3 linked regions of the Ovis aries genome follow. The protein of the gene in region 1 binds, or shares a complex with, the protein of each later gene. Links are inferred from orthologs where the notes say so. Each region holds a gene or a part of one and is shown on either strand. Other genes may lie near its edges.

Region 1 (3,394 bases):
GTCCTGTGCAGAAGGAGGGGCCTCGTACCCTGCGGGGGCGACGCCAGGCACAGGGAGCCTGAGTGGATGGATGCTGCCCGGCTGCCTACACGTTCCTCCCCACGGCTCTGACACGTACCCCCTGTTGCAGGACGGGGACAAATTCTGGCGGATGCCCGAGTGCTACATCCGCGGCAGCACCATCAAGTACCTGCGCATCCCTGACGAGATCATCGACATGGTCAAGGAGGAGGTGGTGGCCAAGGGCCGTGGCCGCGGTGGCCTGCAGCAGCAGAAGCAGCAGAAGGGCCGCGGGATGGGGGGCGCCGGGCGAGGTAGGCCCTTCTCTCCGCCCTCTCCCCTGGCAGGCAGCCGGGGCCTCCCCGCTGGAGCGTGACTGCCGCGCGCGGCATCTGGCCTGGCCCAGTGCTGGCATTCTCCGCTGGTGGCGTCATGTTGCCGAGGGCCTGGCTCTGCGCCCCTCCTCCATGGCACTGGGGGGCTGTGACTCACGGGGCTCTTCTGTGGAACAGTTGGTGCTGCTGGTTGCCACCTGCATGCCCCGTGTCCCCCACCCCAGGAGCCCAGCTAAGCCCTAGTGGTCAGTGCTGGCCGCGCCCATCCTCACAACATGGGCCCTCCTCCCCGCAGTGGCTCTTGGTGCTCCCTCAGCTCCAGATGCCGCCCAGCAGACTAACCCAGCACCCACACAGACCTGGGACTTGAGCCCCACCTGTGTTTCCTGGCAGGTGCTCTGGGCACCTCGGGGAGGCTCAGATTCCCCCCTGCGGAGAAGATCCCCGTGGTGCCCAGCCTGGGACCCTTCCCTGCTGTGACTCCTTTAGACAAAACCAAGGTCACGCCTTTTGGGTAGATCACCCCGCACCACCCTGAAATCATAAATCTTGCATAAAACTAAACGTGCAGTCAGCTAGAGCCGCAGCCCAGAGGCCAGCTGTGGGCCCCACCCTCCCCCACCCGACTTCTGTCTCACCCACCTGGAGGGGCTTGTATGCCAGGTTCCAGGAACCCACCCTGGAGGCTTATATGCAGAGCCAGGAAAGACATAGGAGCCCCCCTGAGCTGAGGCTTGAGTGACAGAAAGGAGCCAGAGAGAAGAGGGCACCGCAGGTGGAGAAGAACCTAGGATGGGGGTGAGCAGGGCCCCAGAGGTCCCAGGACCTGCCCCCAGGGCTAGGCTGCCCACCCAGGGTGCCATCGCTGTCGAGTAAACTGCCTGAAGGAGCAGGGAGGACAGGGAGAGGCGCTTGCATAGGGGCCCCTGCATGACCAGGCTCCCCTTGCCCAAGCTGGGTCTTGCTCCATTAGAGATGAGGCTGGGCAGACCCTGTCAGCCCTGGCCCTGTCCCCTGTATGCGTGTGGAGGAAGGGGGCCCTGGAAGGCCAGGCTGCTGCTTCTGTGACTTCCTGGGCAGGGGCTGCACCCACCCTTGGGCTATTCACCTTCCCCAGCAGCAGTGCTGTGTGCTCCACGTAAAATGCCTTTCGGAAACAGCCCCACCTCTGGCTGCAGAGGTCAGAGCTCAGGAGGCTCCCCCGCCCCTTCTCTGGGCTGGACACACAGAGACCCCACCCCACCCCATTGTTTCAGCAAGGCAGGGTGGGGTCCCCCGGTGCAGCCCCAGTCACAGAGCTGAGCATCGTTGCTCCACCCCTGGGCTGAGTCCAGGCCTCATCCTAGCTTGTACTCCCAGCTCCTCCTGGAAACCCTTCTGATTTTGTCCTGCTGATGACTACCCACCCCCTCACCTTGGCCCTCAGCCCTCTCTTCCAGGAAGCATATCCCCCCCCCCGCCGCCGCCCCCGCAAGCCCCAGTGTGACTTGATGCCAACCTCTGTCCTTCTTGGCATCCTTCGCACCCCTGGGGCGCCTGGTCTGATATCCCTTGTCACACTGAGAATGTTGTGGAGCAATACCCCTGCCCAGCCCTGGTCAGACACTCCATCTCAGATTTTCAACCTGCTCTTCCCACCGACGGTACAGTCACTGCCCCCACTTTACAGAGGTGAAAGCTGAGGCTCAGAGGGGTTCAACGACTTGGCTATAGTCTAAGGGTTCCAGTTCCTGGTCCTTGCCCACAGTGACCCTCCCAGCCTGGCTCTACTGAACCCCCCCTCCTGTCTCACAGGTGTGTTCGGTGGCCGGGGCCGAGGTGGGATCCCTGGGACTGGCAGAGGTCAACCAGAAAAGAAGCCAGGCAGACAGGCGGGCAAACAGTGAGCCGCCCCTCCATTCCCGAGACTGAGCTGCCGCGCCGAGCACCTGCTCCCACCCTGAGGCTGCATTCCTGGTCTCCAGTTTATGACTGTTCAGAACAAAAAGAAGAGGCAGGGGTCGGGGAGGACCCCCTGCCTGTCCTCTGGTGGTCCTCCTCTTTTTTTGTTAGCCAGCAGTTCTATGGTTGGAAATGTTAATTCTGTGCTTCTGGTTTTGTGAAGCCGCAGCCAACTGGATTCCTGGAAGATTCTGTGTTTAATGCATCGTTAAAGCCCTCACTCTTGTTTTAAGGGCAGGCATTTTCCAAACAGGTTTGTTTTGCATTCTGTGTGGTAAACAGACGGGAGGTTTTTATTTTCAGCTGTTTGCACTGAGATTGATAGCCTGGAGGGTCTCCTGAAACACGGACCCTGAAACTGCCTTTTCGAAATGGATCCAGGCAAACGTATGCCTCAGAAGCTGTTCTGGGGGATGATGCTGGGCCCTATTCCGTCCCTTCTTCTCTCCCTCTTTGTCTTAGAAAAATAAAAACAAATACAACTACAAACTGCGAAATCCATAATTCCTTTGAACCACTGGGTGAATCTAGTTGTAGTGTCCTCAGGAAATCACAGCCCCCACGCAAGAAGTTTCCTTTTGCCCCCTGTGGCCTCTCACCAAGGGGAAGCATTTCAATGGGACACTGGTTCCCATGACCCTCAGCAGCCTCTTACAAAAGGTGGAAGGCAAAATGGGGGTCTGGGCAGTAGGGGAGCCCCTTCCCCTCTGTGGGGCGGTGGGGGAGGGAAGTTGTGGGTGGGAGCCAGTGGGACACCCACACTGCCTGTCCTCAGCCTCCATCTCTGTTGTGCAAGCACTGTTCACAGCAGAGCTCCCTGAGAAGCCGTGACATGGAGCTGCCTCCAGGAACACATGAGGAAGGCTTTTCACGAACTGTTTACCTCCTCTTAGGGTCGGGGCACTTGCCTGTCCGCGACTCAGCGATTTGCCTGAGACGCTGAGCCAGCACTTGTGCGGAACACTTCCGGCGATGTGGTCCTTTGACCGATATTCCTGGACAGCCTGGTGTTAAGAGGCTGGTTCCTATGGATGTGAGGTCTACCTGGCCTGAGGTCTACTTGTCACCGATACCATGTTGAGACCGGTTCTGAAGGGTGATTGGAAGAAAAGATGGTG
Region 2 (2,313 bases), about 14 Mb from region 1:
TCTCTTCTCTGCTTGGTGATTCCGATAAGCCAGTGGAATCCTGAAAGGGTTCGACCCGCTGCTCAACCTCGTGCTGGACGGCACCATCGAGTACATGCGAGGTGAGTGCAGCTGCAGGGCTCGGAAGCATCCTTCCGAGCAGTAAGGCCTTCTTTACTGTTCCTAGGCCGCCGCCCATATGCTGAGCCACCGTGAATGTGGCGCCTAGTGGGTCAGACTGCTGACAAGTGTGTTTGCTTTGCCACTGTCCTGGTGGGGCTCAGTACACTGTCACCTCAGGACTTCAAGGGTAGAGTGTTCTCCGGATTCACTCGTCACCGACCCTCAGCACTTGCTGGAGTTGAAGTCTGCCTGGTGGGGCTAGAAAGGTGCTGCACCTGCCACAATAAAGCTGGCTTCCAGGGGCCTCATCCTGCCCCCTCTCTCCTGCTGTCTCTATCTGTCTACTCCCTGCTGCTGACAAAGGGTCCCCTCCCCTTCCTTTCCTGTCCCCGTCTCCACAAGTCCCCAGACCCACCAGCTCAGCCTGAGTGCTGCACGACGGAGCCCCCAGGTTCAGGAGAGAAGGGGGTCTCACTCCTCCAGGGACTGTCGATGTTGAAGTACACATTACTCTGGTGCAGAGTAAATGCGGCCACACACAAGTGTCAGAAGCCACCAGGCAGAGGCCCTCTTTGTGGGAGGAGCAACCCTGTAGGGCCTTTTGCCTGCCCTTGTTTTCTCTCTTCCCTCGGGGTTTACCCAGAGTCCTGCTGCTGGGGTCCTGGCCCAGCCTCCTCAGGCAGATGACATTCTGAAAAAGGACAGCCTCACCCCCGTGGGGCTGCTGGGAGAACCACATGAGCTGGTGTGTGCCATGCACTTACATGGGGTCCTGGCTTGCTGGTCCAGCGACTTTTTGCCCTCTCCTCACCCAAGAACAGCCCCAGGCCCAGAGCCAGCCAGACCCATCCCGGCAGCTCCAGGAGGGAATGGGCAGGCTCGGACAACTGTCGTCCTGCAGGGCCTGGGAGTGGGGAGTGGCACCCCAACTCAGCCTCTCCCGTCACGCAGTAATCTCTGAGAGTAAGCTCGCCTCCGTGCGCTGTCACTTCCCTCCACTGGGAACAGCCCGCTGGTGTGAGGGTGAATGGTGACCCTCTAGGAACTCCCAGATCCTGCAGATGGGTTTTTCTTCTCCCACCACCCCTCTGAGCACTCGGTCCATCTCCCCAGGGCTGTGTTCTCATTGTGGAAGGAGGGCAGGCTGCACAGGGCTGTTTCAGAGCTTTTCCTGAGCCTCTCCATCCATCTCCAGAGAAGCTGCCAATGGGCTGGGGGAAGCGGAGGTGGGGGGTGGGAGCTTGGCCTGCCTTCCCTCCCCCCAGCCCCCACACCCCACTTCTTCCCACCCAGGCACATCTCTGGGCACCTTCCCACACTGCCTCATTGCCGCCCCTCTTCTCCCACAGACCCCGACGATCAGTACAAGCTCACAGAGGACACGCGGCAGCTGGGCCTGGTGGTGTGCAGGGGCACTTCGGTGGTGCTCATCTGCCCGCAGGATGGCATGGAGGCCATCCCCAACCCCTTCATCCAGCAGCAGGATGCCTAGCAGCCAGGCCACTGCTCCCCTGACTTGGCCACCCGTCCGAATGGAACTCTTTTTTGTATAACTTACATTTTGTTTTCTTAATAAAATTGCAAACCTCAAGTGTCCAGGAGCCCTGGAATCTTCCTTTCAGCTTTGGTGTTCTGGCAAAACCCAGACCTGGGGATTTGGTTCATCTGGCAGAGCTTGAGCGCTGGCCGGGGACTTGGTGGTGACTAAGCATGCATAGTGCAGGCGGGGGAATGGGTTTTGCCTCTGCAGAGACCCCCCCAGGGATCACCGCCTCTGTGCACACCCCAGCCAGCCTTCTCAGCGGCAGGTCCTATCCTTTCAGTGCCTTTATGCTCTGGCCCGAGGGGTCCTGCAGAGCCGGGTCCACTCTGTCATGTCCCCACAAAGCACAGCCATGACCCCACAAAGAACAGACTAGATGGAGCCTTGCTGTCCACCTGGCCCACGACCCCAGAGGTGATCTAAACCTCTTCCCCGCTCATCTCAGAGGACAAGCCCACCCCTGCCCCTCAGCCGGCGACCCCAGGCCATCATCATGAACGTCCCCAGTCCCTGTCCTCAGGAGCAGGGCTTTCTCCTGGCCTTGTTCCATAAACCCAGTGTCCTTGTTAGGACCCTGCCCCCATGGGGCCATCCCTGCTGACAGCAGGCTCGTCTCTCATTTGTCAGTCTGGAGCACTGATGAGGGTGGACGGGGAGGCCGAGAGTAA
Region 3 (3,215 bases), on another chromosome or scaffold:
TATATGTTAATATGCTTGTGGCCTAGAGAATAAGAAGTACACTTTGGAATATCACTGCCAAGAGAACCCCTCAGATTTACAGGGCATCAAAACACCTTCTTATAAACACTATCCATTCCTGTTAACACCACTCTTCCTCCATCCAAGATTATATGCCCAGCAGGCTAAAAGAACTTAAGGGTTTTAAGTCAAGAGAAACAGGTACAACTCAACCAATATGCATTCCTATGAAAATCAAATAAACAGCCAAGCCTCCACCCCAAAGGGTATCTATGTTAGATTAGTGTTTTGACCCGACAAAGAGATATGAGGTCCAGTCCCAGCTCTGATTCTCACTTGGTGGGTAATAGTGGGGATAGTGGGCAAGTAATCCCACCATTCTAGTACTGCTTCTTCATCTACCAATGAAGAGGTTTTAACAAAACTGGTTGTGGTCCTGAAGGCTTACAATCGGCTACATTAGAGTAGCAAATTCTACTGGAAATAGATACCAAAGCTATGAATAGGTACCTAGGCCTTGAATCAGAAACATGGTAACATCCTTTGCATATAAGAGTCTAAACAAAAGGAAATAACTAGGATAAACTACTCTGCACTCACTTGAAAGTATCTTTAAGTCATTAACATGACTTTTGAATACAGCAACTGGAAAAATGTTTACAATGTTAAGTTAAAAAGCAGAATGATACACACCTATTACAAGTTTAAAAAAACCCAACATATATATATGTGGACAAAAATTAACACAAGGTAACAAGATTATTCCTTTAACAAACATTATCTTAAAACGAAAAAGGGGAAACAAATTTGGTTAGATTCTCTAAAGCCTCTCCTATTTCTAAAGGGAGGCTGATGTTAATGAACCAATACTGCTTGGAATCAAATGACAGTTTCACCACTTTCCAGCTGTGCCACCTTGTGCAGGTTACTAAATTTCAATTGGCATTATCTATAAAGCGGGAATAATCTATCTCAAAAGACTGTTACATGAATTAAATACTGAAGGGCGTGGCAAATAGCAGATGCTTAATTAAATATTAACTATTATTCTATAACTATACAAAAAATATACATGCATTCTATTGTTTGGAGTTACAATTTTTTATGGTCCAACTAGACTGTCATCACATTAAGAACTGATCCAGGAGGCCTTAGGTGCCTCTTCTATTGACTAGGTACATCAACTAAGGAAAAGAGGGCTTTAAAGTTACAAACCCTCAAATCCTAGTTCCTTACTTCTGACTTGCAAAGGAACCTCTTTAAGATTCTGGTTTATTATCTGTATAAGGGAAACAGAAACCAGAAGATACCTATGAGAACTGCAATGAAACAGAGAACCCCACACAGGGCCCAGGTCAGGGTGGCACCTCCCTTGCACAAGGTTCCTGGCCTTGCACTGGCTCTCAGTTCTGACTTACATCTTTTGGAGGTGGTCCCTCTACTGTCATTGAGACCAGGTTCTCCCCTCGAAGTAGTACAAGACCGAGGACTCGCTTCTCTTCTCTCTCTGCTTGCTTTGAGTTCTTTGGTCTAAAGACAGGTTTAGGAGAAGAAACAAAACAAAGCAAAACAGCATTAGAAAAAGGGTAAAGTTCATGTTCACCTACCTAGGGGCCCTCCGAGACTTTTTTTACACTAAATCTACTGACAGGCTAAACTTGTAACCTCCCCCCATTTGATGGTTGTCTCCCATGCCAAGAGAATGCACAGACCAAGAGACAGGACAAGATTCAAGAAAGCCCAGCCCTGGCTCACTCACAAAGCCACTGTGAAAGCCTTCCCTCAGTCAACTCTTTGTTGCCATTACCCTTTTTCTTCCTTCAGTTTAAGGCCTTAACAATGTCAGGAAGGCAGTCGGAACAATTCCTCAAGTCAACTGAATCCCATTCACTCTACTTACATGCAGTATCCTTCTAGTATTAATTCAGCCCCACAGAACTATAACTCTGTCTCTCACCTCATATTAGAAATAGAAGCCATAAAGGAAAAGGTTAAGAGATTAGCTACATAGAAATTACACTTCTATCCTCAAAGAACAAAAACAAATCTCCAAATATCCACAAGTAGAAAAGGATGAGCAAAATATAAACGAGATAGACTGGGAAAAAGTAATTGCAACAAGACAGGGAAAGGAAAGTCAAAGCCAATATCCTAAAGTTAAAGGAAATACAAAATATCTTGATTTTTAAAAATTACTTAAAGTTTTCATTTTAATGATATTTTATATAAATTTTCTATAGGTGGTCATTTTTTCCTCTTTTTTAAAACTTATCTATAGTTCTTATTTTTTTTAAAAAAAGCATGTACTGCCCTTTCACAATTTAAAAAAAAAATCCTTTCTGGGTCTCTTAAGTTTTTTCTCATATACTTCTATGTACTTTTACAAAATATTTTCTAATGGGCACATTTTCATTACCAGAATAAAGTTAGTCTCATTTAAAAATGTTGGCCACTCTCTAATGTACACCGGGCACTCAGCCATCACTACCATTTTCTGTCTTATACTTCTTGACCTCATGCCACAAAGAAAACAAAAGTCCCAAAGAGAATTAAAAGGAACTGACAGCCACTGGTAACACACTATGGACACTCCAGTGGCAAAAGAGAGCTGGATGGTCAAGGAAATTACGTAACTTCTTTGGGCCTCAAGATGCCTTTACTGTATAAAACACTAGACCACATCTTTTACCAGGCTAGAAGCTTAAGATCGGTGAGTCCTAAGACAAGGGAATTATCTAACAAATTATGGGACTGTATTCTCCAATTGTTTCTGTAAATGACAACAAAAATCACTGGCCCCAAACCCACAAGGGGAGTTGAGCACTTACCCTGAAGAGGGTCAGAGGCTTCTTAAAGCAGTTTCAGACCAGGCTGCACTGTGAGAGCCCTTTAGGCTACAGCTTTACAAATAGGCAATGAGGCCAGAAAATCAAGCTCTCCCCCCTTACACACCTGTGGGGAGAACATGAGAGCCCTTTACCCCAGTACCCCCGGGCACACAAAATCAGAGAAATAAAAAGCCTGGCAGCCCTACTTACAACTTGTACTCTGCTAGAAGTAAAGAGCAAGACTAAGGAAAGAGATTTAAGAAACTCTCCATTTTAATCTGCCCTGTAAAACAGGAGAGCAAACTGAGAGGAACCAGCCAGCTAGTCACCACCTAACACTTGGCCCACCCACCCGATCCACTCCCCATCCACTCAACCCCTCCCCCC

What was found.
Region 2: LSM4 (region 1) and LSM7 share a complex: the UniProt entries of both Homo sapiens proteins name them as parts of the precatalytic spliceosome. The link is inferred for Ovis aries from reciprocal best matches to the Homo sapiens genes LSM4 and LSM7.
Region 3: LSM4 (region 1) and SNRPB share a complex: the UniProt entries of both Homo sapiens proteins name them as parts of the U4/U6-U5 tri-snRNP complex. The link is inferred for Ovis aries from reciprocal best matches to the Homo sapiens genes LSM4 and SNRPB.

The regions. Positions count from the first base shown.
Region 1 is NC_056058.1:4,695,270-4,698,663, forward strand, and holds the end of LSM4 (U6 snRNA-associated Sm-like protein LSm4), read left to right. Parts: intron 1-130; coding exon 131-314; intron 315-2,129; coding exon 2,130-2,221; 3' UTR 2,222-2,765; downstream 2,766-3,394. UniProt on the Homo sapiens protein: Plays a role in pre-mRNA splicing as component of the U4/U6-U5 tri-snRNP complex that is involved in spliceosome assembly, and as component of the precatalytic spliceosome (spliceosome B complex).
Region 2 is NC_056058.1:19,036,582-19,038,894, forward strand, and holds the end of LSM7 (U6 snRNA-associated Sm-like protein LSm7), read left to right. Parts: intron 1-29; coding exon 30-101; intron 102-1,451; coding exon 1,452-1,594; 3' UTR 1,595-1,693; downstream 1,694-2,313. UniProt on the Homo sapiens protein: Plays a role in pre-mRNA splicing as component of the U4/U6-U5 tri-snRNP complex that is involved in spliceosome assembly, and as component of the precatalytic spliceosome (spliceosome B complex).
Region 3 is NC_056066.1:52,396,581-52,399,795, reverse strand, and holds part of SNRPB (small nuclear ribonucleoprotein-associated proteins B and B'), read right to left. Parts: intron 1,531-3,215; coding exon 1,419-1,530; intron 1-1,418. UniProt on the Homo sapiens protein: Plays a role in pre-mRNA splicing as a core component of the spliceosomal U1, U2, U4 and U5 small nuclear ribonucleoproteins (snRNPs), the building blocks of the spliceosome.